4 linked regions of the Lepisosteus oculatus genome follow. The protein of the gene in region 4 purifies or fractionates together with the protein of the main gene of each other region. This does not show direct contact. Links are inferred from orthologs where the notes say so. Each region holds a gene or a part of one and is shown on either strand. Other genes may lie near its edges.

Region 1 (7,806 bases), on a different chromosome or scaffold from region 4:
CCGCCGGTCAGGTCTGCAGCCGTGGCCACACCCCATCACCCCTCCTGGGGGGGGAGGGATCTGGGGGACTCGGCAGCACCACCTGCACCGCCCTGCGAGACGCCGTGAGAGCCCCTTCTAACCCGCTGCTTCCCAGCACGCTTCTGCAGCAGCGCCTCCTGGACAGCTGTGTTGTTCCTACATTAGGTGCGCGATAAAACTACCTCATACTGCAGCGTGCTAACATTTTAAACACCCTAAAATGTCATTGGTAAGGAACATTCTGGATTTCTTCCATCTCCAGCATCATTTCCAGAAAAAAAAGGCGTGTTCTGTATAACGGAGAAAGAAAATAATATGCAACTTGTTTAAAAAGTTCGGAACGTGGGCAGGAGATCTTGACACGTCTTTATAATAAATATAAGACACACCTCTCCTGAAAACCATGCGGCTGCCTGCAGCTTACACTACCTCTAATGCGACTAAATTAAAAAAAAACCCTGATCAATCTGATAAATTACAGGGATGCTTCTGAAGTAAAACGCTGAGCTTTTATAGACGTCTATCGATACCTTTTTGCAATAAGTGCAATATCGCACAATAATGGAAAGGATAACGAACGCGGAGGTGTCCGGCCACCGCAGTCGAATTGAACCCGACTCTGCAGTTCAATCAACAACACAAACAGCGTGGCCGCTGGGAAGGACATGGACGCGACAACAATGTTTCACAACCTCCCAGTTCACAGTTCACACACAGTGGTGGGACGGTCAAGTTCATCTTTGTGCCTCTTAAAACAACACCCAGCTGTATCCTGTAACATCTGCTTTTCGAGAGACTTACACTCGGATACCGACCAGACTGTAAACGGGTTTTGAAGTCTGTCATACAGACGGCGGAGTTCATGAGAATCGAGAGACAGGGGCAGCGGGCGGCAGGCACGATATGTGCAGCAGCTCGCTGGGAAACACATGCAAGAGACGACGGTGCCCATTTAAACCGTGGTAACAGTGTCAGCTTTGTAGCAACCCGAAAAATGTTAAAAATGTACAAGACAGAAGCAGACGCTGCGCTGAACCCATCAACCGATACAGAGTATATACACGTCCACGGGCACCGACAGACGGGGAATTACACGATCTGCCCCCTCGTTTAATTTCTCTGCCAAGAAAAAAAAATCGGCACATTGAAAACGTTTTAGGCACTCAGCTCTGCTGCCGTTTTTCGGAACTTCGACTTGCATATGACAAAACATAATCATTACTGGCTGTGCTCTCTTCTCCCCACCTCCTTCTCGACAAAACGATGAAAACCCCTCCGACACCTTACCATCGTCTCACGGGCTCGTCTCGGTCCTTCGGAGCGCTGGCTGCCTCCCCAGCCCCTTCTGCAAGCCGCGTGTCTTTTATTTAGATGGCAGATCCCTAGTTAACGTCGTTCCCCCCTCCAAAAAAAAAAAAGTTAAGAAAAAAAACTTCACAGAGCCTGTTCGAGTTGGGGCTGAAAGTTTGCGATCTGGTCCTGATTGGAGTGACTGGAACGCAGGTCCGGAGAAGGAGCCCGACATTCCACCTTAGGGAGACTTTGAAGTTTCATCGGCCACCCCCCCCCTTCTATATATGTTGGCATGTGCGTGCGTGCGCGCCTTCAGTTGAAGACGAACGCCCCTACCCGCACCCCACATCGGCTGTCGAGAACAGAAATACATTTACGATTTTTAAAATTAAAAAAAAAATCATCGAACCGCCGAAAAAAAATCGAAAAGTTGCACCTTTCCCAGACGCGGGAGCATAGCAACCACTCGCAACAGCAAAACGCGTGCATTGTAAGAAAAAGTAACGGTAAACTCTCTAAAAACAAACAAACAAACAAACAAACAGAAATGCATCAGGAGAAGGGGAAAGTTACCTTATCTGCTGCTGCTGCTGCTATCGTGAACGGGGCTGTCCTTCAGCCACCCAGCTCAGCTCAGTGCCTGCGGCCGGGGCTCACGCCGGTATGAGGCTCCATTTTCTCCCTACAGTGGGCTGAATTAGGACGCTGTGCTCAGTTGGACACTTTCTGCATCGCTCGCATTCCAGGGGGAGCACGTGACGCCCCCGGATCACGTCAGCGGCCCGCGCGCTCGCGGACTGGGGGGCGCTTCTAGCGCTCGAGCGCGGCTTCGTGACCCAAGAAGAAAAAAAAAAACAAAACAACCAAAAACCCCACAGACGCGCAGGGCGCCCCGGGAAGCCAGGAAGCCGACTGGCAACACGCCCGAATGTGTGTCTTTCTGTTTTGTCACCCCCCCCCACACACACACACAAATCCCAGTGTTTAGGCTGAAGTCGTTATTGAGCCGCAAAGGAACAAGTTTTAGGTTCATTCCCGGCTGAAAAGAGAAGGAAGACAACACAACGTTTCGGCTGTTGAGCCTTCTTCGGGGGGTTATTCAGCCTGAGCAGATCTTAAAAATCAGTTGTTGGCTATAGAAATCGCGTCAGCTACAGATAACTAAACGTTCAGTTCATAGCTACAGGTGACTGTACATTTGGTTAAACGTACAAGGCCCCAGTAGCCAAAGTACAATTAAAACCCAGTCTTAGACGTAATAAATGAAGGAAAAACAAACATGCACTAGGAGCGGCAACCCCAAAAGTGAACGAGGGGCAGGTTGGTGAAGATCACCTCAAGACCCGCGTTAATTTCCTGCCATTTTAGCCAACATAACGCGTAAGAAGAAGCATCAATAACGCAGGACAGGATGAAACAGTCGCTAGGCTCCGGTTACTGAGGCTGGAGGGGTGCTTATTGTTTCAGATCTAAGCGGCCCAGAGCACTAAGGAGTGAAAATGTGCCGCTGGAAAAGCGTGTTAGAGTGCAAAGCAACCGACTAACATCGAGGGAAACCGACAAACGGCTTCCTTGTTTCAATGCTGTCATTGCGCTCTGGACAGTAAATCTAAGGACGAACCGTTTTGTATTGTTTTAAAACACGTCCAAACATCCACATAATTATCACGCATATTAATTCACGCACAGAGCGCTTTAAACACCATTGAGTTAACTCATCCAGATTAGATTTGAATAGCCTGGTCACCAGGACAGCCTCTTCTGAATCGGCTAGTTTGTGACAGCTTCTTCCAAGTGACAGTTTTGTTGTTTATAATTTCTTCCCACTGACCCTCTGTACCACAGTCCCCAGTGTCTCTCAGCTCCTTTTAATAGCGCTGCGATCCGGTTCGTCACGCGTTGCATGAGCAGATCTTGCTAGATGTACAGCTACAAGGAGAGCTGAGGAATTCAGTGTGACAGACGTGTTTGCGCCTGAATTACGTCGGATTATATCTCCTGGTAGTGATGCGGATCAGCTGGAAGACCGCGTTGTGTTAGAAAGTGAGCTATTATCTTTGTGACCCGTGGACCCGTTATGAGGTCCCACTGGGAAACACGACACAGGTTCGCAGACTCAGCCCGTCAGGAGTTACAGTCAAAGAGCCGCAGTACAGTCGGGGGGGGGGGGGGGTCTGACTGTAAATATGTTTCCTCCCTCTTTGTAAACCAGAGGTACAGTATGGAAAGGAAAAAAAAGCAGAGCAGATATTCTTTTCTTATCTCTCTACAGACCAGAGTGTCTCAGTGCATTAATAAAATTCAAAATGTTGAAGTACTGAATAAAACATAATAAATACCTCTATCAGTTCCACAGAGTGTTGAATTGCTTCATCTACGGATTGCTTAATATCATTTTTTTTTAATGAGTGACTCTTGGATGATCTCAGCCAGTAAAAACCTTCCGTTCAAAACTGAAGAGATGGACGTATTTTTCACAGAAGCAGGAAAGCGGACACCTACTGTAGCACACAAGCCCTAAGGAATGGCCTGGGCTGGAATATCTTGAAAGCACACATTGAAAGTCTCGACACAGGTAAAATAAACACAAGAACAGAATGGATACGGGCAAAAGGAGGCTTGTTTGGTTATTAAAAGCAAATTGACCTGGGAATCTTATTTAGCCTTCTCTTTAAAGAAGCAAAGTCAAATACACGCAACTACCAAAATAATGGAAACACCAACAATATGACATATTAATAACATCTTCAATGGTACATACTGTAATACAACTGCACTTTACAAAAAAGATTTAACAAGATAAGTAAAGATAAGGAAAAACTCTTGGGAAAAACTAAGGTTGCTGCTGGAAGAGGTGTTAGTGGGGCCAACAGGGGGCGCTCACCCTGTGGTCCATGTGGGTCTTAATGCCCCAGTATAGTCAAGGTCCTGACTCTCTGTGGTCATTAAAAATCCCAGGGCATTTCTCGAAAAGAGTAGGGGTGTAACCCCGGTGTCCTGGCCAAAATTTCCAATCGGCCCTTACCAATCATGGCCTCCTAATAATCCCTATCTATGAATTGGCTACATTACTCTGCTCTCCTCCCCACTGATAGCTGGTGTGTGGTGAGTGTTCTGGCGCACTATGGCTGCTGTCGCATCATCCAGGTGGGGCTGCACACTGGTGGTGGTGGAGGGGATCCCCATTACCTGTAAAGCACTTTGAGTGGAGTGTCCAGAAAAGCGCTATATAAGTGTAAGCAATTATTATTATTATTATTATTATTATTATTATTGTTATTATTATATAAGGTCCGCACAGCTGTCATGTTCTTACTGTTAGAAATAATCACCTTTAACCTAAGCACTTCAGAATAAAAAGGGTGTGCGCCTATTTTAGTCATTATACGATACGGAGAAGTCGCATTTTGATTGGCTCCATAGCCTTTAAGCTCATTCGCGGGCTACGTATCCTGTTACGTCATCACGACCCGTGGGTTGAACCGGAAGTTATACTTGTGTTTGTACGGGGTCGGCGTGAAGACGCGGGGGCGCTTTCTGGGAAAATGGCTGTTGAATCTCGAGTCACTCAGGAAGAAATCAAGAAAGAACCCGAAAAGCCCGTCGATAGAGAAAAGGTGAGTTGTGTTAAGCCGTTTTTGTCTATCGAAGATGCGCACGCACGGTTTGAGTGGTGCCTTGTATTTTGTTTTCTGGAAATGTGTGGAACGGTGTTGTGTTGGTCTCCATTAAACGCTTCAGTAGGTATGTGCTGTGTAAAACTGTGTTTTCATTTCGTGTTTCTTCGCATTTTGGGTAGTTGTACAGTGTCTCCCTCAAAGACAGTGAGACTTATTGAGTTTTCAGTTAAAACGATTTACTTTCTCTTCCTAATTGCTGCCAAACGTGTGCGATGCGAAGCAATACGAGTTGAGAAAACGGCGATAAAGTATATGTTTTTCTCACTTTCTTTCCTTAGTGAGCAAAATATACTTAAAGGTCATTTATTTACTTACAACGCGATGAATGTAGATGTAGCTAGCAAGTTTGTAATGCATCTTTTGTGAAACACGATGGTGAGCAGATACCACGCTTGAGACCACCTATCGGTTTCCCGCAACTGAAAAAAGCTAGGTACTTATTTTTGTTGTTTTGTTTGCAGACTTGCCCGCTGCTGCTGCGGGTGTTCACCACGAACAACGGCAGACACCACAGAATGGACGAGTTCGCCAGGGGAAACGTGCCCTCCAGCGAGCTGCAAATCTATACCTGGTAGGTCTGATGACACTTCACACCACGGGGCTCCCTGCTTGGGCCGGGGGAGCCCCACCCCAGCAAGTTGTTTTATAGGTCATCATAAAATAAGCAGTTTCTGAAGATATGGACCAATTCCACTGTAACCACCCCTGGAGCAGCTGGGGTTAAGGGCCTTGCTCGGGGGCCCAACGGAGTAGGATTCCTCTGCCGGCTGCGGGATTTGAACCAGCAACCTTCCAGCCACAGGCACAGATCCTGAGCCATAGAGCCACTGCACCGTTAAATTAATTTAGAGATATTTTAGGACTAAAATCTATGTACTTCTCAGATTTCAGGGATTAGTTATATTAATGATATCCTTACACCTATATAGCTCTTTTCTGGACACTGTACTCAGTGCTTTGCAGGTAATGGGGATCCCCTCCACCACCACATGGATGATGTGGTGGCAGCCAGAGTGCTCCAGGCTGCTCCCCACACACCAGCTCTCAGTAGGGAGGAGAGCAGAGTGATGAGGCTTATTGGGAAGCCATGACTGGTAAAGACCAGGGGGAAATTTGATCAAGACATTGTGGTAACACCCCTACTCTTTTTGAGAAACACCCTTGGATTTTAAATGACCACGGAGAGTCAGGACCTCGGTTTATTGTCTCATCCGAAAGACGGTGCCCATTTACAGTTTGGTGTCCCCGTCACAGACCCACACAGAACGCAGGGTGAGCGCCCCCTACTAACACCTCTTCAGCAGCAACCTGAGCTTTCCCAGGAGGTCTCGCATCCAGGTATTCGCCAGGCTCACACCTGCTGAGCTCCACTGGGTTGCCAGCTGTGAGTTAAAGGGTGATAGAGCTGCTGGGTCTCTGTTAATTGAACAGATTACTTGCTTGGTCAGTGTTGTCTTACAGTCTTTAAAAAGAAGTTGAGCAGTACTGGGGCTCTCCAGGACCAGCTGGACAGACTAACTGACCAGAAGAACAAAGCTGTTCACCTCTGCAGGTGCCCAGACCTGTTGCAGAGCCCTGATCCGAGAGACGTGGGCCCTGCGCTATCAACACGCGCCATTGGATATGGCATAGTTGTGGTGGTACTCAGAAGGCCAATGCTTTCATCACAAGCAATGAAATGACAAATGTAACTCTGTTGGCCTGCTTGTTTTAATATGCCAGGTCGAATTCAACCGGAACGCCAAACTTTTCAAAAACTACAAGAATGATCTTGCAGAATCTGCTGCCAGCTCCCCTCCCACGACCGTGGAAAACCTTAAGCTGTGCTGAAAGTGCAAATTTATTGTCTTGAGGTGACATTAGCCAAATATGGAGTAGTTATGTTTATTTTTCAAATGTTCTCCTGCTGTTGGAGCTGAAGTTAAGTGCTGAGTCTTAGCTTCCGTCTTGGGTACTTTAAAGAGTAATATTGTCTCAAATAGGATGGATGCTACCTTGAAGGAACTGACCAGCTTGGTGAAAGAAGTCTATCCAGAAGCTCGGAAGAAAGGCACGCATTTTGGCTTTGCCATCGTGTACCCTGACCCTAAAAGACAAGGCTACAGGTAAATACCTTGAGAAATACCGCCGTTACGGGCCGAGCTTAAACGCGCAGCGGCTGTGTTTGAACTGTGACACCTAAGATGATCTGCCCTTGGTCCTGTAGAGTTAAAGACATTGGGAACACGGTGTCCGGGCGGAAAGGAGCAGACGATTCCATGACTCTGCAATCGCAGCGGTTCCAGATAGGAGACTACCTAGACATTGCCATAACGCCGCCGAACAGAGCGCCGCCCCTGCCTGGACGCATGAGGCCCTACTGACCGCCGGGGACTGCGGCCGCTACGTTTTATATCCCCTGTGTTTCCTATTAAAGCCTTTTTTTCCTGCCTTTCCTGATTTAATTAATGTCGCTGTAGCTTTTTTTTTCTGGAAGCGTTTAAGGAAATTTAGTTTGAAAGCTCCTTTCATTTTTTCGTGAATTTTAATTTGCGTTGGATTTGGTAATTCAATTAAACGATTTCTGTGAAGGTGTTTTTTCTGAAAGAAATCTCGTGTGGGGAGTATGACGTTTTTTTAAAGGTGGGGTTTGTGTGAGCGTGCGTGACTGGGTCACAGGTGTGGAGTAACAGATTTACAGGAATTAAAACTTTGAGATTAGACCCTTGAGGAACCTGGTTTGGTGTTATACTGCTATTCGTCCTTGATCATGCTAGATGGCTGGTCTGGTTGATCACACTGTGCCTTGGTCTCTGTTAACCCCTCCAAACTT
Region 2 (7,458 bases), on a different chromosome or scaffold from region 4:
TAGTTATTAGTAAAATACATTACATGTTATTTATGTTATTACATGTTACTGTTATTGCTATTGTGTAACTGTCTATTGTCTTATCTTCTGTCCTATTTATATACTGCACCTGAGTGACTAATGAGAAACACTTTTCATTATACTATGCACCTGTGTAAGTTTAATGACAATAAAGTTGAATTGAAGACATTTTCTGACAGTGTAATTCCAGTGTAGCACTTAAAGAACATCAACCCTTAAGATTTTACATTATGGTGCTACAAAAACGAGTTATAAAGAGCTTGTCCCACATATTTCTCCTTGAACACTTTCTCGTTAAAACAAAGCCATAGTTTTATCCTTATTCAGAGTGTTTGGGCTTTTAAAGCTCAGTAAACTAAGAGGCAGAGCTGCTAGTGCCAGGCCCCAAGAAAACCTCCCAGGGTCACAAGCCACCAATGTATGCCTTACCAATATGACTGAAGACTGCTGATGTTATCTGTTACCTCCACACCTCCGGAACTCAACTCTCCTAGGTGCATATTCTGTGCCACCGATCTTGACTGCACACTTCACAGGTACAGAGCCAGAACTCCATATCTTCATGGACCAACATCCAGCTCCTTCACCCTTTCCTTTACACCGACTTATACTAAAGTTCCCTCACACAGCACATCACGTATGTCCTTACACTACACAGGCTAAAATGTGTGGTTGCTGCGCTTTCCAAACTCTAAAAGGCGAAGAAAAGCACAGGCAGTGCCTCTCCTGCTCTTCACTTTCAAGCAGCGCACTCGATGTTTCGACAGAGACGACACGATACCGTACCTGGATTCCCCACTGCTGTTGCTCACACTTTCTTCGTCGCTGCGCCCATCCATTTCTTAAATCGGAAACAGCTCCGGTTCCACGGCCTTCTCTGCCAGGTGCTCGAAGAACGCAAACGGGTCCAGACCACTTTTGATGACTGAAGCGTTACAGGGACTGCGGTTTCTTCATCCAGGACTCCTCAGCGGCTCCGGGTAGCCTAGAAAGTGGGCGAGACACGTTTATCACACGACCGAGTCGCAGCTGCTTTGTCACGGTACTTGTGTTGTTTTTTTTTTGCTCGGTCTGCTCCGGTAGTGTTGCACTGAACGCCACCGGCGACTGAACACCCACCAAATCAAGAGCCGAAGTCACCGGCCCCTCCGGGGACAGACCTTCCGCTGGTCCCCGTCTCGGGGAAACACTGGTACTGGGGCTCAACCTTCATTCGAATTAGCGACGTCTTGACCTTTTATCACCGCCCCTCCTCCATGAAGAGTAAAATACTATTCAGGCAAGAACAAACGAGCCGTTTCCGTGGCAATTATTTTATACACATGTAACTAAGGGACATGCCTTCATGTCCATCTTCCTAACGGGAGACCCGGACGTGCCTCCCCGAATTCCGGCAGAACCGCCGCGGATCAACTTGCCGTCGCTCCGCTCCTTCTGGGCACTTCTTGCGAGCGACGTCGTGGAAGCGACGCTTTGCTACCGCTCCCGTTTCCAACTTCAGCTGTTGCTCCTGCGAGCGTGTGAAAACACCCGCAAACATCAAGAAGAAACTCACGTCGCGTTCCTGTCGGCACTGTCGCCCTTCCAGTTCGGCATGGCTCCCCCTGACCTAGGATCCGCTCGCCAGCTCGCCCCGGCACCGCGACGGGCTCCGTTTCACATCAACACTTCTGCTGTTTATTTACAAGAATCATGTCGAGGACACCCCCCTCACACACACACCATCGCCGCCGCCGCCGCCACAATTGTCAGAAACATCAACCCGCAGTCGAACTGATCGTTCGGATAAAAAAAAAAACCCCAACGAAACCCAAGTCTTAAACGGCTAGAAGTAAGAGACATGTGTGGGTAATTCAGGCCCGGTCTCCAAATCTTAAAACGATGCGATGCAACCTTCTCTTAGACCGCAGAGGCCCAGATGCGAGGCCTGCAGCGTGCTGGAGTTGGAGGCGGACTCTCCTGAACAAAGATCCCCGCCGGAGCGCCTCTGCCCGCATCCTCCCTGCAGCCCGCCGGCGACCGGCAGCACGGAGCGGCGCCCTCAGCCGCGCAGCCGGGCAGACCACGCCGCCGCCGCGGTGGGCAAACCGGACGGGCTTCGAGAAGCGTTTGATTTACAACGTATTCGGTCTGTTGTTGTTTGTTTTTATATATATATTTCTCTCAACAGCAAGCCAGCACCTTACCAGAGCAGGAAAAAAAAACTTACTTCAGAAGGTGCACATTTTAAAGAGGAAAAAAAAAAAGTTTGGCCGATTTTCGTTAATCGCATTAAGCCAGGAACAAAATGCCATCCCTTCCTCGGGTTCCCACTTTAAAAACCGTGAGCCGGGGGTGACAGACCCCCCAGTCCGGAGCCTGTTTTCCCCCCGCTGCCCTCCAGCACAATCGGCTCTTTTATCCCCGCGCCGCCTCGCCGCCCGGACCCCGTCCTCCGCGCGCTCGCATACTGACACACCGCACGCGCCAGCCCGCTGTCCCCTCTTCCCCGTGCACGTCCGTCTCGCGGCGCCCAGGAATCGTCGCCTTTCTCGAGCTGACTGGGGGCAACCGTGCCCCCCACAGCTCGTCTCCCCGCGTTTTCAGCCCCCCCCTCCCTCCACACACACATACACGCGAGTCGCGCCTCGCTTTGTACCTCCTGGGTCGCCTGCCTCCGTCCGACTTCTCGGGCTCCTTTTTTTGTAACAATTTCTGTTTTCTTTGCCAGGTCCTGTGTCGCTGTGAGCTGCTGAGTACCACTTCGGCTCGGTTGTAAACTCGGGTTTCGTAAGAGCCCGGCTCCCTCAGGGTTCCTCCTCCGGGCTGCCAGAAGGGTCGGGGGGAGGTATTAATATGCTTTTTTCCCCAGTTTCTCCTTTCGATACCGAAGCACGGGCTTTCTTTAATCGAAAGATTGTTGATTGCAGCCAGATCAGTTACGGGTCCTCTCTCTGCCGGCCTCCGCCATGACGCCGTCGAGCTCACACACTCTGCCTATCCGGAGAGTGGAAACCCCGGGCCGTGACGTCACGCCGGCGCTCGCTAACTCGGGAGCTGCGCGAGTGCGACTCGCGAACGGGACCTGGGAGAAAGGAGAGGCCGCGCGGAGGAGGGGGTGTCGGCGGTGTCACTGCCCTGGAAACAATTGCCAAAGAAGATAGTGCACCACCATTGGCTGGCGCGGCTGGAAGGATGGTAGCTTTCTGTTCTCCAGCCTGACTACGCTTGTGAAGGAATTCAAATCGGCGTGTTTTTTTTTTTCTCCATTTCCCGCACTTCAGTCAGACGGACACCCGGGTGATACGTCTCCCTGCTCCGTGTTGGGCGCTGCGTAGCCCCAGTTCACTGAGTATCTATGTCTGAACCAGTATTAACACTCGAGTTACCCATCCCGCCTCCCAGGTCTTTTGTGATAACATATAGAGCCTATTAAAACTGCCCTTGAAGTCTCACCTTAAGAAATCGCTTTCTGATTGAGGGTGAAAAGAGTTTGCTTATAGAAGCATACACTTTTATGTTTCGTATGAAATTATCGTTCCATAACAAAAAAGTATTCTCGCGTATATTTACATTATGAGAATGGGTCATGGGGATAAACTGATCAACCATTTCAGACAAGGCCAGACTGATACCCACTGAGGAATGCCAGCAGAACAATTGTTAACCCCAGCGATCCCTTGACGTAACTGTGCCTCAAGGGTCTTCCTGATTACTTTCAAAAGATTAAATCCTTCAATGCTGTATATGAAAGGGACATACAAATAGAAAAAAACACAGTTTGAAAATAACAGGAAAAGCAACTACCTAGAGAAGTGCAAAACACACAGCATGTTTTTAATGTGGATACAGTTACACTGAGAAATGTTTGTAAACATATATGGTATATATACAGCACATGTATAAAGGCAGTCACAGTTACGGGGTCACCTGGACAATATTAAAGAAATTAAAACAAGCAGAAAAAAGCACAAAATGAAAACTTTGTGATCTTCTCAGAATCCAATGCAATAAAAGTCAGGTAGTTGTTTTGTAAAGATTGTTCATGAAATGGCCCATAATCACAGGAGCATTTGTTTAAGGTATTCCCATCACACCAGTTTAGAAGCTGGCTAAGAGCTTTTTTTTTGCACTGTCCTGTCAAGTTATATTTATATAATTATATTTATATAATTCTTCAAAAGTGTTTACATCAGGACTTTGGCAGTATCATCACATTAATTCAGGATATTTACTTTCTAATTTTAATAAGATTTTACCTGAGAGTAAGTTTAGGATTTTTGTAGCGCTTTGAGAAGCCACCTTTAAAGGCACTATATAAAATTACGTTTTTTTAATTTTTGTTATTGTTATTATTATCATTAGGATTAGGATTTTTGTCGAAAGTAGAATTACAATTCCACCACCTATAACAACATAAGTTCTATGAGCCTGAAGGATGGAACTGCGTTGTTTCTGTGCTGTGCCTACTTTCTTTTTGGGACACCAAAGAAACTTCAGATCCATGTCTTACTCAAGGTACCATACCACATTTTCATCAGTTTTTCCTTTCATGTGTCAGCTGTCATTGTCACCTTTTCTTTCCACATAATGTTTCTGAACTGAAAAATTAAAAACTGCATCTACAACAGTCTTTTCCACAGTTCCTTTGGTAATTTTTCTAGGTTGAACTCCCCTCCTGGGCTTCTTTCCTGTCCTGTTGTCCCAGGCAAGCCTCTGCAAAGGTTTCTGAGCTGCGACTCTGTCACACTATCCTGTTGAAGATTTAATTGTACCATGTCCTCTCATGTGAGGAGATATGACGCTGAACTGAAAATGGCAACTATAAGAGAGCTACATTAGAAACAGAGGAGCCTTGGACCCTCCAGCAATCACCCTATCTTATCTTTTAATTGTTCTGTTCTACAGTATATACAGTACATGGTCAACTGTGTATTCTAGTATTATATAAACTGTAATAGCCGTGGAGCCTTCTTCAGGTGTGAGGGCTGAAGAAGGCTTGCACCTGAAGAAGGCTCCACTGCTGAAACGTTGTGTTTTCTCTCTTCTTTTTTTTCAGCATGGAGTAAACCTATTACTTGTTCCTTTGCAGCCTACACATGCTGATGCAGCTACCCACCTGAACTTATACAGTATACACTGTACCTGTTTTGTTGCCAATTGTGGTCTGTCCTTGTTGATGCAATTCATTGACTTTTCTAAGAATTTACTATGTATTTTTATTATTATTCTTCTTTTATTATTATATGCTATTGTCGCATCTTGTTAGCTGCTATCATGTCGCCAGTTTTCCTATATTTATTTTGTTTAAGTTAATATGTGTAGCTAAATTCATTGTTTTTATTTATCTGTTTAGATTTATTTTAAAACTATGTATTCTAACATATACGCTGTAGTAAGATACATAATATATGTTCTTAGGAACCTCAGAAGGGTTACAAAGGAGAGGGGACCCTTCAAGCCATCAGGCCCATTTGACACTGAGTAGCTAACTGGTCCAGGGATCTCCTGAAGGAAACCAGGTTACGGGCTCCAGCAACATGGCTGGGCAGCTCGTCCCATAACGTCCACAACTCTTGCATACAAAAACAGCCCCTGTTCCCCGTTTCCAGTGCACATCCGCCTTGTTAGCATTCATGACTTCTGGTTAGGGTTTCACTGTGGGTTTGGATGAAGTCCTTTGCGTTGATTTTGTCCCTTTCCTCCAGGACTCTGAACACTTGGATCAGGTCCCCCCGTAGTCTTTGTTTAAGGTTAAGAAGTTCTGCCCCAGAATGCTTCTGTCTGCCATTCTTTGGACCAATTCAGTGCTTTTTTATAAGACAGCAACCAAAGCTTTACACCGTATTCCAAGCGGATTACTGTTTGTATTTAGTTCTGAAAGGTGTTTTCCTTTCTAATTTTTTAGTTTAGAAAACAGACAAAAACAGTCCAAGTTGCATAACAACCATCCTTTTACCAAACAAATTTGGAAATATACATCATACATAGGAATTTAGTCTGTTCTCATCTGTTCCCGTAATCTTTTACAATTATTTCACTCACTTTCTACCTAACTCCTAATATTCAAAATAAAGAAGATGCGTAAGTTATTATGAAGAGCAAGAACAGTATGTAAACGTTCATTCTTAATTCGGGTTTCAGTTATTCTGCATCTCAACAAATTCAGACTTCTAAGTTTTAATGTACTTAATTAACCCATCTAGACCAATATTTGTTCTTCTGTAATTTAAGTGAAAATATTAATTTTTCCACTATATGTATTTCATTTATTGACTCAATCCCATCATTTATTGGTAAACCCAGGAGAAGCCACTTTCTTGTAGTCTTTTTTACCTTATCAGTAACCCTTAAGTAAACATAATATATAACAGCTCAAATGTGAAGAGTAAATTCCTTTCAAATAAGTTCTCCAGGGCCTCATGTAAATCCGTTCAGAAAATACTTTTTTAGGGGCACTCCCAAAATATGGGATTACCTTCTTGGTTTCCACAATGTCTCCATCATTTAGAGTTTCCCCTAATAGGGTGTGCCTTCTGCCTCAGAGTAATAAAGAATCAAACAACATTTTTCCAGCAAAACTATCTCCATAAATGTGAGGTAGTATATCTCTATTGAAATTCACAAAGTTTAAACCACTCTTCATTTGTAACCCTAACTTTACTTTCTTTCACCCATTTACCTTTTATATAATCCGTAGAATGTAATTCATTTTCCATAAAACCCTTATAAAATCTAGATATAATACCCTTACTTGATTCCAATTTGTAGGCTTCCATAACTACTGTTCTTTCACCACTGCATCATCAATATACAGTTCTCCCTTTTTAATATCACTAGTGATTTAGGGCACACTTAGAAATATCTATAATTCTTGCTTCTCCAAATGGTGTCTCTCTTTTAAAAGCTTATCCATTATAGTACAAAATGCCCTTATTTCTTTTTTTCTCCAAACTTTAAATCTATTATCCAATCTTTTTTGTTTAAATTCCTTAATGTGGATGCACCTGTGTATCTGAGTACCTTAACTGCGTCACTTAAGTGATACTCTTTTGTAACTGTGTTCCATATCTTTAGTTCAAGCTTTATCCATGGATTAAGTAAATTTATTTAAATTCTTGTTCCCTGATAATGCCTGAATTGGGGGGTTACTCATAAGGGATGACTCAATGTCTGAAAGGTGTTTTCAGTTGCCTAATAGAGAAGGGAAATTCACAGTCTGGCTATAAGGCCTAATTTGTTATATTTGTTTTCTTTTCAACTGGATATGAACATTTCAAGCAGACAATTCTTTCATTATAAATTTCCCATTATTAATTTCAGAAAGACATCCAGGATTGTCTCCAGATTATTCTGCTCACAGTCTGGTTATGAGGCCTAATTCATTATCTGTTTTTTCTTTTCAACTGGATATGAACATATCCGGTAGACAATTCTTTCATTATGTGGAATGTGAAG
Region 3 (7,551 bases), on a different chromosome or scaffold from region 4:
CACAATGGGCAAAGTGCAAACGTTAGTCTCATTTCCTTCCAGGTGATCCTCCCCCAAATATACAGGGCTGTTGCAGAAAAGGGGTCAATGTGATCTTCAGGAATTCTAAAGAATAATCTTAAGCCCTTCCTCATGAGGAGAAAGAGAATGGACCCTCCATAGGAACGGAATTAAAAGGCATAAAACTTTTCTGACCAGAAATCAATTTCAATTAGGATGGAAATAACAGTTCTACACTGTGAGCTTTTCCTCTTTTAGTTCTGAGACACTATGTTAACGGTACACAACAGTACCTTTTCTTGTCATGTATAATAGCGATATAATACTCAGAAAATCCACTCCCCTTTCTGGACACCTCTACTTGTTAAAGATAATGATAATGTCGCTTTATTAGCCCTATTCAATTTCTTGCATTAGGAATTTGTCTTTGCGCATACCCCAGCTTGCTCTCCATGAGACAGACAGGGAGAGAAGCTTGGGGTCAGAGCGCAGGGTCAGCCATTTATACGGCAACCTTGGAACAGTTGGGGTTAAGGGTCTTGCTCAGGGGCCCAACGGAGTAGGATTTCTCTGCCGGCTGCGGGATTTGAACCGGCAACCTTCCAGTCACAGGCACAGATCCTTAGCCATAGAGCCACCGCTCCGCCCTATGACACTGGTCTATAATGTGATTAAATGAACTCATGTCATTCTCAGACAAGACCTGTTACTGAATGTGCTCTGGGCACCGGAAGATTTAGTTGGGACTTTCTCACTCACTGGGCTACAGGATCACTGCTGACTTACCATACAGCAGCCCCCTTCTTAGACGCCCCCCCAGTCCTCTCTCCTGGTCCCGTCTCCTCATGGCTTCCTCGGCTGCGGCTCGGGCGCCGGGCGAGAGCTCCGACAGATCCTCCTCATCGTCCAGCCCCTCCTCCTCGTAGCGGTCCAGCTCTGGAATAGCCCGGTAGTCCCTGCAGACAGACGCTTAATGAACTAAAACGTTGCTTTTGGAAGCATCAAAAAAGTGATCAAAGTCTCTAAAAAAAAACACAAATTCCTGCAATCCCTTTTATTGACCACAAATATGCACAGAATAATTAAGAAAGGTTTTGGTTGCTGTAGTCCTCTAATTCCTGGTAAAACAAGGCATTGCTCTAAAAGCTATAGAATGCTGAACAGTATTAACCTGTAGGATCTTTTAATACCCACAGCTAAAATTGCAGTTTTCTTCCAACAAAGATTCCCCACATGTGCCGTCACTAATGCAGTGATACATCATTAGCAAAAACATAAGCACACTATAATTCTGTTTGCCATGATTCACAATACTACACCCTGCAATACCTTTTTAAGCTTTTCAATGCATTAGGCTTATTATATATCCTGCAGCTTGCTAGATCACTGTCCATCCTATAACGCAACTAGTTTTAAATTAACTGAACTCACTGTTCTACTCCACATAATTGAATTATTAGCTGTCGAATAACATACACCAAACACAAAAATAACAGTACTTTATAACTCCGACAGGATCTTTCCAACGCCATTACATTTGGTCTTAAACTCCTACAGGAAAGTACTGCCCGATAGGCAATTTAACTTCACCTCTGTGGTGATTTCAATATTTTATGCCATACTCCAAAAGATAACGCGAAAGAATGCACCGCGCTGTAATTACCTGCTGAAATGCTACATGCCAAAGCGAGATGCATTTGTTGTGCACAATGATCGCGGCAAAGCAGTCAGCGCAGAACTCACCGTTCCATCCCATCCCCGATCAGCTCTTCTCCATCCTCCTCCTCCTCCTCGGGGAGGGGGTCCTCTCCCAGCAAGCCCTCGGACTCATCCTCGAAGGGGGGCAGATCTCTGCCGGGGCTGGACGTCAGATCACCCTGCCGGGATGCCTGGCTGGGACTAGTGGCAATGTTGTAGGACTCGGAAGAATCCTGGGAACGAGATGAGCTCAATTCAAATTCTGTTGGTTGGCATCTAGTTGTTGTTGGGTTTTTTTTTTACACTACAGGACCAAAAAGTAATGATGAATATATGAACTCCTACAAAGAACCCTAAAAAAAAAAAAGCAATGGACTAGACACTGTAGAAATTTGATATTTGGCTCCTCCTTTTTACATAACCCAGCGTTGTTTGCGTTACCGAGGGCCGTCAAGGACACCAGGAATTAAAAGTTGAAATGAAGGCACGCAGATTGGACTAAAATCGCCTTCTGAACACTAATGCTTCTGGAGTTTGTTTTTCCAACATCTTCATCAGTCACCGGCGAGCAGGGCTCAGTCGAACAAGTGTGCTCAGGGAGTTTCTACCACACAAAGAGCAGCGCACTGTCTCGAATGCTTCTGTAGTTCTACTAACCACAGTTACATTTTGAGGATGATGTTCTAAATTACATCATTAAAATAATGGGAACGCCACTTTTAAAACATCCTTCCTTACTTTAGAACGTAAACCTCAGAATGACACAATGAAAACCTTTTCACCTCACTTCCCACTAAAATCCAAAAGCCGCGTTAGACTACACTTGCTTTAAAATTAAAAATATAGCAACGTTTCTTAAAAAACTCATAAACACAACCGTAAATATTTTAAAAGTGATTTTTAACTCTGAATCCAGACACCACATATATATACACCGTATATAACGTTCCGGTTCACCTCCTATCCTAACAGTATTTAACAAAGAATGATTCTTACAAAACCTATAAAGCAAGCGTTAACCCAAACGACTGCTTTTCGAGTGCAAAATAACTCAAGCTTAAGGTTTAGGACATGAAAATGATTTCAAAGCCTAATAACAAAGCTCAAATTCCTAACTAAACCGAACGAAAAAAATAGATTGTAAATCTTCTCCACTTCAAATATACACGATAATTTTTTTAAAAAAAGTGCGATTCACTATCGGTAAAACAAAAATAATTCCATTCTCTACTTACGGCCATTCTGTAGCTCCTGGTACTTTCTCTCTCCTGCAAGGAAACTTGCTGTTTCTCTCTTTTTCGCGCGAAATGGCCATGTGACAGCAAAGCGCGCGAAAACGTATGAATATTTAATTTAGAACTACGAACGCATTTTCCGATTGGTCCATGACTTATAAATATTCATTAGTCACGGATATTGAACCCATGTCCGGCCACTTTTAGTCCAGCCCAGGAAATGGGGGAGGTGCTTAGCAAGTAGCTTTACTTTAGCAGATTCGTTGCGCTGCTGTTAGTTAAGACACGTGTTTTCCAATACCGTACTTTTGATAGGAGTGCGTCCTTTTTGTACTGAAAAACACTTATATTCTTTAAAGGCAAGATCTGGGGGTTGGTTTCGCATACTCTGATTAGCGTAAGAACACCGGACTACATTAGTGTAGCCTAACATTGTTTAGTAGGTTTAGGAGTTTTATTACTCAGTTCAAAATTATTATTTATTAATTATTTATTAATATAATTATTAATTATTATCTTCACAGAGAGATGGACTTTACATTCACCTCCACTTACCTTTCTTCGTACGTTTTACAAAACTGAGATGTTCTTATGGCATGGTTGACAAAGTATTCTAAATGGAGTCATTCAGTTTTGTAGGGATGTCATAACTGTTTGTAGAACACACGTTTTATATCACATATCACCCTCCAATCACTTTACTTCATGTCCATTTCCAGAGCAACAGTAGGTTATTGTAGTCTTATCTCCCCGTAGCAGAAGATATTTGACATGACTTCATATGAATGCAGATCCCTGTTTCAATATGAAGTTCCCAGGCTGAAGTGATGTGAACAATACTCATTACTGGGTGAAACAATCAGTTCCGTGGGATGCCTGTACCATACAGATTTTTCAGATGTAGCGTATTTATGTAGTTGTGCTTGAACCTGTTTTGATTTAATACAGCATATTCCAGCATTGTCACCTTCCATATTACACTTTTGTTGTATCATGTATTTTTTTTATTCCTCTCACAGTCCAAGGACATACTGGTAAGTTAATTGGCTCCTCAGAAAATCGGTCCTGGTGCGAGTGTGTGTGTGTTTGTGCCTGTGTATGCCCCTGAGATGGACTAGTGTTCCATCCAGGGTGTATCTTTTCTGGCACCTATTGCTTGCTGGAGTAGAATCATGACCCTGTATTGCATAAAGTGGTTAGAGTAATGGGTTAATGGATTTCTTTCAATTTAAATTGTCTGCACAGCTCTACAGTATAAAACATAAAACACAAATATTTCTATTTTTATCTGACAAGAAAAGACTCACTGTAAAATGTATATATGCATAGATGTGTATTTCTTTGGATTGAAGGTTGATATATAGTGCTGACATTTTTTATGATTTATTGGCAAAAAAATACTGTAAAAGTATTTGAGCAGAATTCTGAACGTTATTCCAAACATATAAAAGACTCAACTGTGTTGTACTGAGTTATGTATGTGTATTGGTGTTATTTCTACTTGAACTACTTGGCACATTAGTTTCTCTTTGCACATACTGTATGTTGTTTTTTAGGCTAGGGCTAAAAAAAATCAACTATAAAGCAAAGAAGTCCCAAAACAGATAACCAAATTATTTTTCCAAAGACCTAATCCTCCCCCTTAAAAAAGTATTCTGATTTTTTTAACACACCGTTAATGCATACCTACTATATTACCTGGGATTACTTCTGACTTAGTTTTAAGAATGTTTCAAATGCACACACACACACAAAATAATGTTACTAGCTTTTATTTCAAGAATGATTTAACAATGTTTCACTTTTGACATACCAGTCTCTATTGTGAGATGTTTCATGTAAGAGATTCACAGAAGATGATTCATTATCTAGTGCTGTAAATTGATTATGCACATACTAATTGAAAGGAATAGTCAGATTATCTAGAATTCCTCAATTCTGTTTCAGTTGCTTTTAAAGATGAGGTACAGCACAGGAAGTGTTAGTGCAAAAGCAGTGTATGTTAAAACTGTGTTGTACATAGTGTTCCTGTTTATTTGTGCCTCTAGTCTCTTTTCTGATTGGGTCAATTCCAGCATGATGCCCTCTGTATCATAGGGTTGCACATCCTGGGACTTTAAAAGCTGGTTCTCTGTTGGGCGAGACCTAATGACCACCTTTACTGTTTGGAGCTCAGATGCCACCTTCCCCATCTCATGCTCCAGTTTTCTTAACTGAGGCTGGATGCCTTCAATCAAACCATGGATCTTCTTGCTGAAAAGCAACTGTTCTTTTAAGTCCGAATCAGAGGCACTTGGAAGTATCTTGATTGCAGCTGTCCCTGCCTTATCGGCTGGCTTTGGTCCTTGCAAAGTGCCCCTCAGGCTATTAATGAGACCGCCGAGCTCCTCCTGCTGAGACTCATGTATACTGGCCTGCACCTTAATTGCTTCCTGGAGGCTCACAGGTCCCTTCTGAGCCTCCAGGAGGAGGCTTTTCAACTCCTGCAGACGGACTCTGTTGATGTAGGTGGACCCCAGCACTCCGATCAGGGCCCCCAGCACCGAGCCGATGACGGACCAGTTTTTTGTCCTTTCAGCCCTGGCTCGCTCCTTCTCGTGGCTCTCCCGCACCCCGGCCGAGAACAGGGCAAACTTCTCCCGCTCCGCCTCCTCTGCGTTCCTGTAGGTCGTACGGAGGCGACGCTCCTCCTAAAACAGCGAAGCAAAATGAAGCACAGGGTTCCAGAAGTTAATTAAGATGAAAGTCAACCCCTATTGTCTTAAATTACAAAAGCACACCTCCCACCCCCCTTTAAATAACCCAGTGTGGAATCAGGTTTTTTTTTCCCCGATCCTGTCGTTCTGGCGTGAAGTCTCTTCCAGATTTCCTTTCTTGGGGCTCTAACTGAAAAGAGTGCCTTCAAAAAAAATCCCTCAATGCCCTCCAGAAAAATCAATCTGTCAAAAGGTAATGGCAACAAACATTTCCTCAGAGGAATGTACATAACTAGCACCAACGGACAGACAATGTAGGTCACAGAAGAAGTGGTGTTCAGAAATGGCGGAGAGCCAGACTAGCGTGTCGCAGTGAATGACACCGCTCTGAATGTAGCTCCTTAGACACGGGCTTTCTACTGTACTTATAAATCATTTAATGCCGGGCTCCCGACAGCACAGTTCTGCAAAAAAAGCGCCATGAAGTACGAAAGCAGACAGGGAAACCGAGACAGCAGTAATAAGTGGCGTTTTAACATCAAGCGAAAAGAATGACGGGCTCGCCCACCTGCAGCAGCTTGTGTTCCAGCGTGGCGAGCTCCAGGTAGTGCACCTCTTCCCTGGACACGCGGTCCAGCCGATCACGGACCTCCTTCAGCCTCACCTGCAGGGCCTCCAGGCTCTCGTGGGCTTCCCGCACGATCCCCCTGGCCACCATGAAAGCCTGCTCCGCCTGAGAAACCCAGAAACCCTCGCTCATTTTCCAACTCACGAGCAGCTAACTGAACCAACAGGTCCAGGCTAGCCTTACAAACGTCTATTATCAAAAGCAAGGAGGAAAGATTTGGTTTTCCCCACTGTTGATGGACAAGCCAAGTAAACACCCGAAAGGCTATACCACATTTTTTAGAATTAAAATAGGATTCCTATAGGAGGGTATGTGAAGAAGAAAAAAAAAAGTGTAATATAAACACTTATTAAAAATGTTAATTATCAAGGTTAAGAAAATACATGTTATATTTACAAATAACTAATGTTATATGAGGATGACGTTCTGCTTCTTATTAAAGGTATTGGTAGGGTATGTAAATGACTACTATGAATGTTGGTGGTGTGCCGTATAAGACTGAAATAAAGACAGGGCAATTGACTTTTCCTTTTTCTGAAACATTTTTTGAGCTTAAGAATCAGTTAATTAAGCCCCTGTCATAGGATTCCAGGGGATCTAATATCAGAATCTATAAATCTACTGGTCTTAAGGTGCTTTTGAGAGCAGTAGAATTATAGAAACCAATCCTAGGGGATTATTTCATTACCATTTTTATTGTTCTACAGTGAAATGTTATTTGAAACATTTAGCATTTGGGTAAAGAAAAGATACAACCAAGGTATTGGGAAATGAACAGTTGAAATGCTAATGGCTTCTTTATAGGTAGCTTGTATATTATACAAAATTTTAGTTACAAGTTAAAGGTTTAAGGTTTACTATTACTTTATTAACCAAGGTCTGCACAGTGTCTTTGAATGTTTCTCTTATAAACACCTTCACATTATGTAAAGACAACAGCCGTAGATACATCCACAGTACATCTATAAATGTATGACCCAAGCATATTAGGTAAGCGATGCAGCACAACTGTCTAACATCATTTAACTGAAAAAGAAATTGTGGTATACTATTTGTTTAAATAAAAATAAGCAATTTATTTTTAAATCCTATTTTTATGTTTCACTTTTTATCATTGTACTGCTTTTTTGGGGATTTTTCTTCCAACATTTCGGCAGAACTGTAGAAAACGTGTTCCTTTATTTCTCAGTACTAGTGTGCAGTGTAGTTGTAACTTCCCCCACTTACCTCTGTGACTTTTGCCTGTGCATCTCGGACTTCATTCAGCCCCACAAACTCCTCATATTTCTCCCAC
Region 4 (7,972 bases):
ACGCAGGACTGTCACTGACCTCGAATGACAGCAGAGGACCTGAGAGAGAGAGAGAGGGGTTAATACAGTACAGACACACTGACTGGACACTACAGTACATTAACACTGGATGCACTGAGAGAGAGGGGTTAATACAGTCCAGACACACTGACTGGACACTCCAGTACATTAACACTGCACTGAGAGAGAGGGGTTAATACAGTCCAGACACACTGACTGAACACTCCAGTACATTAACACTGGATGCACTGAGAGAGAGGGGTTAATACAGTCCAGACACACTGACTGAACACTCCAGTACATTAACACTGCACTGAGAGAGAGGGGTTAATACAGTCCAGACACACTGAATGGACACTACAGGACATTAACACTGCACTGAGAGAGAAGGGTTAGTATGATACAGATTCACACACTGAGTATATATTTTTTCATACTTAAACCCTCCTGCATAAGGGTATGAAATTGACAACAGTGATGACACCCTGTCTGTACTTGTCCTGAAGGCGTACCTCCAAACTTGGCTGTACCCCAGTTCCAGCCCTTCACACACAGGTCCTTCTCCATCAGCTCCACCCTGTAATTGTTCTTGAAATACTCCGATATTTTCTCAAAGTCCTGCGGACATAAGAGGGCATGACATCAGCTCAGGGGGGCACCAGGCCCACAGACCTACAAGGACCCCACTGAGAGGCAGGCACCTGGGGGACACGAAGGACCACAATTCCCAACCTGGGACAGCGGACTCGTTCTGATCCAGATGGAGGTGCTCTGCCCGCACCAGTACACTAGCAATCGGGCTTCCTTAGAAATCATCTACCACAAAACTCTCAGAGGTCTCATCCACTTGTAAGTGCACACCAACATCAACTTGTTAGACTGTATGTTGCACTGAACTTGGTCCAAATAGCTCCAGGATTGCTGAACGACAATTTTTGTTTCTCTGAAGAGATCATTCACACGTTCCAGAGCTACATGATGCCGTTGGGAAAAGACTGCAGCTCTATTAAGACGTCTTGTTTCTCAAATAAACATGTGTTCTTTAGATGTTTGATGTTTACGAACATCTACTGTACATCCTAATGCAAAACCCGATAACAGATAGGAAGGAAACTAATGTGTGCATCTTCTCACAGGGCTGTACAATGAGAGAGTGTCCCAATCCTACTGGGAGAGGGAGCAGGGAACTCAGTTGAATTGGCAGCCCAGTATGTGATCTCCTGTCACAGCCTGAGGAACAGTGAACCTGTAGCCCAATAATGCTCCATATGTCCATAAGTAAACGTTTTATGATGTGTCTTTATTGTAAACGTCTGTAGATGTTTTGTTTTACGTTAATTGTATTTGTTTTGCTTTGGCAACACTGATTGTACTCATTGGTCATGCAAATAAAGCACCTTGAATTGAACTAAATTGTGCGTCTTCTCACAGGGCTGTACACTGAGAGAGAGACAGTGACCTCACAGTGCAGTAGGAAGTGCACCTCTGTCTCCATTTCTCCCCGCTGGCAGTGGGAGCACAGCCTGTCCTCTCCGGGCAGCCAGGTCTGCCTGTGTCGCCCAGTTTCTATGGCCAGGCTCCTGTCACAGCCTGAGGAACGGTGAGTCTGTCTCCCAATAATGCTCCAGCCGCCTAAAGTATATGTCAATATTTTATAATATGTCTTTGTTGTAAATGTCTGTAGATTTTATTTTACTTCTATTTTTTGTTTTACTTTCATTTGCTTTGGCAACACTGATTGTACCCATCGGTCATGCTAATAAAGCACCTTGAATTGAATTGACAGTGCGTCTTCTCACAGGGCTGTACACTGAGAGAGAGAGAGAGAGAGAGAGAGAGAGAGAGAGAGTACTAGAGACACACGCTCAGCATAACCCCTGTCATTCTATTGCAGCCAAGACATCTCTCCTAACAGACTCCGCCAGACAGACCCTGCTCATGAAATCCATACGGCACAACATCCCTGTCCTCGATCTCTGGCGGCGTGTGAGGGGGCTGGCCAGTGTACTCACACTTTCCCGAAAGCCATCGTATTTGTAGATGTGTCCTGTGCTGGTCAGCAGCTTCACCCCGTGACCCAGGCACACTCGCCGCCACACGCACTCTGTCAGCTCACTCGCGGGGATATTGTCCACCTTCCCGGTCTTACTGTTCTTATACACCACAGCCTGCTTACTGAGACGCAGACGACCATCATTCTGAAAGAGAGAGGGGTTAATACAGTCCAGACACACTGACTGGACACTACAGGACATTAACACTGCACTGAGAGAGAGGGGTTAATACAGTCCAGACACACTGACTGGACACTACAGGACATTAACACTGCACTGAGAGAGAGGGGTTAATAAAGTCCAGACACACTGACTGGACACTACAGGTCATTAACACTGCACTGAGAGAGAATATACAGTATATCCTACGACTACAAACAACAGTAAAATTCTCAAAATTATAAGCCCCTCGTCACCACTGAATATTTCTCAATCCGAGATGCAGAGGAAGAGAGAGCTCAGTGTAACTCACCCACGATCCTTTCACCTCTTGGTAGATCTCGTTAAATTCCAGAGTGTCTCCCATTTTTCCACTGCGACACTCCACGGGTTAAAAACTGAGACTTCAAATGTCTGTAGCTGCGAAATAACGGGCTCTATCAACAACGAGGTGCGGTATGGTACTGCTCCGAGTGCCCGGCACGATTCGAAACCAACGACTCCTCTCCCGGCGCTCAGTAAGTCACCACGCCGAGTCAACACAACGTAGCGCATAAATAACAAGGGGTTTAAAATGTTGCTTTGCGGTGCCCCAGCTGCGTCTCTTAACTGTTAATTTCGATTGCGAAGAAATGAAAGGACATGCGCTTAGTCTTCTTGGACTTACAACTTTCGGTGCCCCTGTTGTAAAATGTCTTCGGAAATCGTGATTACTTGTGTTACAGAAGACACTTTCCCGCGTCAAACCCGCCACCTGGGCCTCTACCGGAAGAGGAGCCGGAAACTCAAAGCGTTGACTTCCGCTTCCTTACGACCTGCCGTATAACACAATGAACTGGCGCAATGTATTTTACTCTGCCTCCGCTTGAAAAGGGCGAGCCAAACCCAATACAATCTATATGAACTATCGACCTTTACAACGCATAAATTTGTATGGTTATTGTTGTTCTTTTACCGTAATAGCGCACACAATCCGTGGGGACCGTGGAGGCGCTGTCTTGGCCTCGGAGAGTTTATATGGGCTTAGTGAGACAACACAGTAAACACGCTCTACAAACTGCTTCTCTCATACGTGTACAAATACACAAACACTCGCTTACACAGAGTGCACAATCCACACACTCACACACTGGACACAATACACACACTCTCACTCTATACATACAAACTGTATACACAATACACACACACTAGATACACAATGCACACACACTCTCACACTGTGTTCACAATACACACACTTTCACACTGTACACACAATACACTCACACTCTACACACAATACACACACTCTCATACTGTATACACAATTCACACACTTAAACTGTATATGCAATACACACACTCTCTCTCACACTGAGTACACAACACACACTCACACTGTACACACAATACACATGAAGTATACACCACACACACACTCACACTGTATATACAATACACACGAACTGTATACACAATAACTCTCACACACTGTATAAACGATACACACACACTCTGACAGCAGAGGGAGACATAGACCGCGCTTGAGGTTTTCGTGCTCGGAGCAGCCGCTGTCGGTTCAGTGTCGCAGGGAGGCGCAAATACGTCCAATAATATTTTTCTGGACAGAATCACTCTAGTGTTTGAAAAACTTCAAAGATACAGACAAATATAATTTAAGATGGAGGAATGTATAATTCATGGGGTCTGTGAACTGAAAGCTTTAGCCTTGTGGGGAAACAAAGCAGCCGGGCTGTAGCGATCAGTGCAGCGGGTTTGTCCGGACTGTTCTGTAAAAACACCGCGCTTCCTGGCACACACTACACAAATTACACGCACACCACCCACATTACACAAACACCACACACACAACACAAACTACACGCACACCACCCACACTACACAAACACTACACAAACGACACGCACACTGCACAAACTAAACGCACACCACCCACACTACACAAACACCACACACACACTACACAAACTACACTCACACCAGACACACTACAAACGCACACCACCCACACTACACAAACACTACACATGCACACCACACACACTACACAAACACAATATGCACACTGCACACACACTACACATGCACACTACACACTGCACACACACTGCACAAATAGACTACACACACACAGACTACACACACTACATACACTCACTGTCACATACTACACACACTACACACACACCTGCTGACACACAATACATACACACTCCCTCGCACTTCCTCACACACTGCATGTGAAATATACACACAATTGCTTACACTGCATACACAATACACACTCATACTCTCTCTCTCAGACCCTGTACACACAATACACACACTCCCTTTCACATACTGTACACACAAAACACACAATCTCTCTCCTGCACCATGCACACACTAGCTGTGGCCACACTATGTGTGCAGTCTGGTGTAGCAGTTGTCAGAGTGAGGTGCCATGGAGGTATTAAAGTAATCACCCAGCAAACACTGCTAATGCTTCAGGAATGACTGGGGCACAATAGGAAGAGAAAGAAGAGGCACTGAACACAGTGAGACAGATACACTCTGTTTGCTTTGGTAATCTAGGATTAGTCCTGTTCCAACAGAGAGACCAGGGAGGGGGGAGAGAGACCAGAGACTTTCACAATTAAGGACGAAACAGGAGAGCTTTTAAGCAGTCCTACACTGCTTAAACTTAACGTATACCTCCTGCACAAAACTGTACCATCTGGCAATGAGGTCTTAACCAGCAGCATCACGGAAACAGCTGAGAGAGAGAGGGGTTAATACAGTACAGACACACTGGACACTACAGTACATTAACACTGCACTGAGAGAGAGGGGTTAATACAGTCCAGACACACTGACTGGACACTACAGTACATTAACACGGCACTGAGAGAGAGGGGTTAATACAGTCCAGACACACTGACTGGACACTACAGGACATTAACACTGCACTGAGAGAGAGGGGTTAATACAGTACACACAGAGTGGACTCTACAGTACATGAAAACTACGTTGTTTTTGTAAAAGTATACTCGGAAAAACATCACAAGTCACAAAGGGAGGCCATTTGACACATCTCGCCTTCTTTGATAATTGGCAGTTAATTGATCCAAGAATTTCATCCAGATGTTTCTTGAAAGACATCAGGGTATCAGTTTCAACAAAATGGCTGGGCAGCTTGTTCCACACTCCCACAACTCTTCCTCAAAAGTGAAGCTTTAAGTGGAAACAAAAAAGAAAATCCCAACACGTCTCTGCTTTCTGAGAGTACAAGGTGTCAGGCTGATGTGTTTGAATGCAGAGGAAAGGGAGTGTGTGTGTGTGTGTGAAGGAACGATTGTGAAAGAAGATGGGTGTTACCATCACATTAAAATACTTCTCTCTTTCATTTTAAATTCTCCTTCTTTTATGAGCGATAAAGAGATCAATCTGAAGTGTTTAATGAGTGCCTTCGAGGTGAATAGGTTTAACACAGAGAGATGTAGAAGATCATGTTTCAGGAGGGAGAGAGAAGGGGGGACAGATGAAAACAGAGTAATGGAACAGAAAATAAGAGAAGGAGCAAGAGAGAGACATTAACACTGCACTGAGAGAGAGGGGTTAATACAGTCCAGACACACTGACTGGACACTACAGTACATGAACACTGCACTGAGAGAGAGGGGTTAATACAGTCCAGACACACTGACTGGACACTACAGTACATTAACACTGCACTGAGAGAGAGGGGTTAATACAATACAGACACACTGACTGGACACTACAGGACATTAACACTGCACTGAGAGAGAGGGGTTAATACAGTACAGACACACTGACTGGACACTACAGGACATTAACACTGCACTGAGAGAGAGGGGTTATTACAGTCCAGACACACTGACTGGACACTACAGGACATCAACACTGCACTGAGAGAGAGGGGTTAATACAGTCCAGACACACTGACTGGACACTACAGGACATTAACACTGCACTGAGAGAAAGGGGTTAATACAGTACAGACACACTGACTGGACACCACAGGACATTTACACTCCACTGAGAGAGAGGGGGTTAATACAGTCCAGATACACTGACTGGACACTACAGGACATTAACACTGCACTGAGACAGACCAGGCATGAGAAATGCAGTTTCCAAAATCTAAAATTTTAATCTTTCTTGAACAATCACTATGTCAAAGCTGTGATTACAATCCAGTATAAAAGAGGAGCGCAGGGCTCTGGAATAGAGGTGCTGGTGTGTGTAACACTGAAGACATTCACTCTTCGCTCTCTTCTCCACAGCGCTGGGTCACAGGGGGTACTCGTGCCACAGACTGGAAGACACAGAAAAAGGACTGATTACACTGTGTGCACACTGGCAAGTTATGCTCTGCAGTACTCACAATGCCTTCAGTATACAGTATATCCAGAGTAGAGAGTGTGTAGAGACTGAACAGCATATATACCGAGTAGAGTGTGTGTACTGTGCACAGTATATACAGAGTAGTGTGTACTGTGTGCACAGTATATATATATACAATGAGAGTTTGTGTACAGTGTGCACATGCACAGTATATAGATAGAGTAGACTGTGTGTACAGTGTGCACAGTATATATACTGTATACGGGTGTGTATATGCTGCTTGCATAAGTATTCCAGCCCTTCTAATCTCATGGCTCTGAATTAACACAGGTGAATGAAATTGCCCTGACAAGGATACAATTGTGTTACCATTGGCCCCTGCCTAGTCACTGTCACACTTACTGAAGTGACTGTCACATTTACTGGATAAAACCCCCAGTGTGTTTCAGGATCATTGGTCAGGCAGTGAATCTGAAGTAAAGCTATAAAGCCATGAAAATGAAGACTAAAGAGCATTCTAAGGACATCAGAGATAAAGTGATTAAAAATTGGATAGATTAGGCAATGAGTACGAGAAATATCACAGTGCCTGGATATCCCAGTGAGCACTGTCAGCTCAATAATCTAACAGTGCTCACACCACCCGGACACTGCCTGGAAAAGGCTGTTCCTCAGAACTCAGCATCCGAACAAGAAGCAGACCTGTGAAGGAAACCAGCAATCAATCTGAAAGACCTACAGAGCTCAGTGGCTGAGAGTGGAGTAGAGGTGCATCAGTCAGCTATATCAAGAGCTGTGGTCTTTATCACTGGCCTGTATGGGAGGATGGCAGGAAAGACACCCATCAAAAAAAACAATTCAAAGCCCGTCTGGAGTTCACCAGACAGCACAAGAGGTATCCAGCTAAGATCTGGACAAAGAGACCAAGACAGACCAAGATCGGCCAAAAGTCAAAGTGCTATGTGTGGCGCAAACCTAACTGTGCTCATGCCTTAAAGAAACGCAAAGCCTACCTCACTCCTGACCAGCGTGCAAGGCTATCTCACTCCTAACCAGCGTGCAAAGCCTACCTCACTCCTAACCAGCGTGCAAAGCCTACCTCACTCCTAACCAGCGTGCAAAGCCTACCTAACTCCTAACCAGCGTGCAAAGCCTACCTCACTCCTGACCAGCGTGCAAAGCCTACCTCACTCCTGACCAGCGTGTAAAGCCTATCTCACTCCTGACCAGTGTGCAAGGCTATCTCACTCCTAACCAGCGTGCAAAGCCTACCTCACTCCTAACCAGCGTGCAAAGCCTACCTAACTCCTAACCAGCGTGCAAAGCCTATCTCACTCCTGACCAGCGTGCAAAGCCTACCTCACTCCTGACCAGCGTGTAAAGCCTACCTAACTCCTAACCAGCGTGCA

The links.
Region 1: the proteins of FACT complex subunit SSRP1 (region 4) and sap18 fractionate together in Homo sapiens (co-fractionation; 3 studies listed by BioGRID and IntAct, with this or other methods). This does not show direct contact. The link is inferred for Lepisosteus oculatus from reciprocal best matches to the Homo sapiens genes SSRP1 and SAP18.
Region 2: the proteins of FACT complex subunit SSRP1 (region 4) and chd1 purify together in Homo sapiens (affinity purification with mass spectrometry; 3 studies listed by BioGRID and IntAct, with this or other methods). This does not show direct contact. The link is inferred for Lepisosteus oculatus from reciprocal best matches to the Homo sapiens genes SSRP1 and CHD1.
Region 3: the proteins of FACT complex subunit SSRP1 (region 4) and mcm2 purify together in Homo sapiens (affinity purification with mass spectrometry; 6 studies listed by BioGRID and IntAct, counting the BioPlex papers as one, with this or other methods). This does not show direct contact. The link is inferred for Lepisosteus oculatus from reciprocal best matches to the Homo sapiens genes SSRP1 and MCM2.

What each region holds. Positions count from the first base shown.
Region 1 is NC_090710.1:31,923,643-31,931,448, forward strand, and holds sap18 (histone deacetylase complex subunit SAP18), read left to right. Parts: upstream 1-4,798; 5' UTR 4,799-4,859; coding exon 4,860-4,931; intron 4,932-5,455; coding exon 5,456-5,565; intron 5,566-6,976; coding exon 6,977-7,099; intron 7,100-7,200; coding exon 7,201-7,357; 3' UTR 7,358-7,584; downstream 7,585-7,806. UniProt on the Homo sapiens protein: Component of the SIN3-repressing complex. Enhances the ability of SIN3-HDAC1-mediated transcriptional repression. When tethered to the promoter, it can direct the formation of a repressive complex to core histone proteins.
Region 2 is NC_090698.1:55,020,232-55,027,689, forward strand, and holds the start of chd1 (chromodomain-helicase-DNA-binding protein 1), read right to left. Parts: upstream 3,014-7,458; 5' UTR 2,660-3,013; intron 2,312-2,659; exon of another isoform or gene 2,231-2,311; intron 1,666-2,230; exon of another isoform or gene 1,577-1,665; intron 1,247-1,576; exon of another isoform or gene 1,141-1,246; intron 1,007-1,140; 5' UTR 861-1,006; coding exon 808-860; intron 1-807. UniProt on the Homo sapiens protein: ATP-dependent chromatin-remodeling factor which functions as substrate recognition component of the transcription regulatory histone acetylation (HAT) complex SAGA. Regulates polymerase II transcription.
Region 3 is NC_090699.1:59,492,450-59,500,000, forward strand, and holds the start of mcm2 (DNA replication licensing factor MCM2), read right to left. Parts: upstream 3,010-7,551; 5' UTR 2,940-3,009; coding exon 2,934-2,939; intron 1,932-2,933; coding exon 1,744-1,931; intron 957-1,743; coding exon 787-956; intron 1-786. Other genes in the region: ccdc51 (mitochondrial potassium channel), read right to left, coding at 4,877-5,623, 6,198-6,362, 7,485-7,551. UniProt on the Homo sapiens protein: Acts as a component of the MCM2-7 complex (MCM complex) which is the replicative helicase essential for 'once per cell cycle' DNA replication initiation and elongation in eukaryotic cells.
Region 4 is NC_090701.1:42,561,184-42,569,155, reverse strand, and holds the start of FACT complex subunit SSRP1, read right to left. Parts: upstream 3,007-7,972; 5' UTR 2,581-3,006; coding exon 2,527-2,580; intron 2,199-2,526; coding exon 2,013-2,198; intron 619-2,012; coding exon 513-618; intron 40-512; coding exon 1-39. Other genes in the region: pold4 (DNA polymerase delta subunit 4), read right to left, coding at 6,510-6,534. UniProt on the Homo sapiens protein: Component of the FACT complex, a general chromatin factor that acts to reorganize nucleosomes. The FACT complex is involved in multiple processes that require DNA as a template such as mRNA elongation, DNA replication and DNA repair.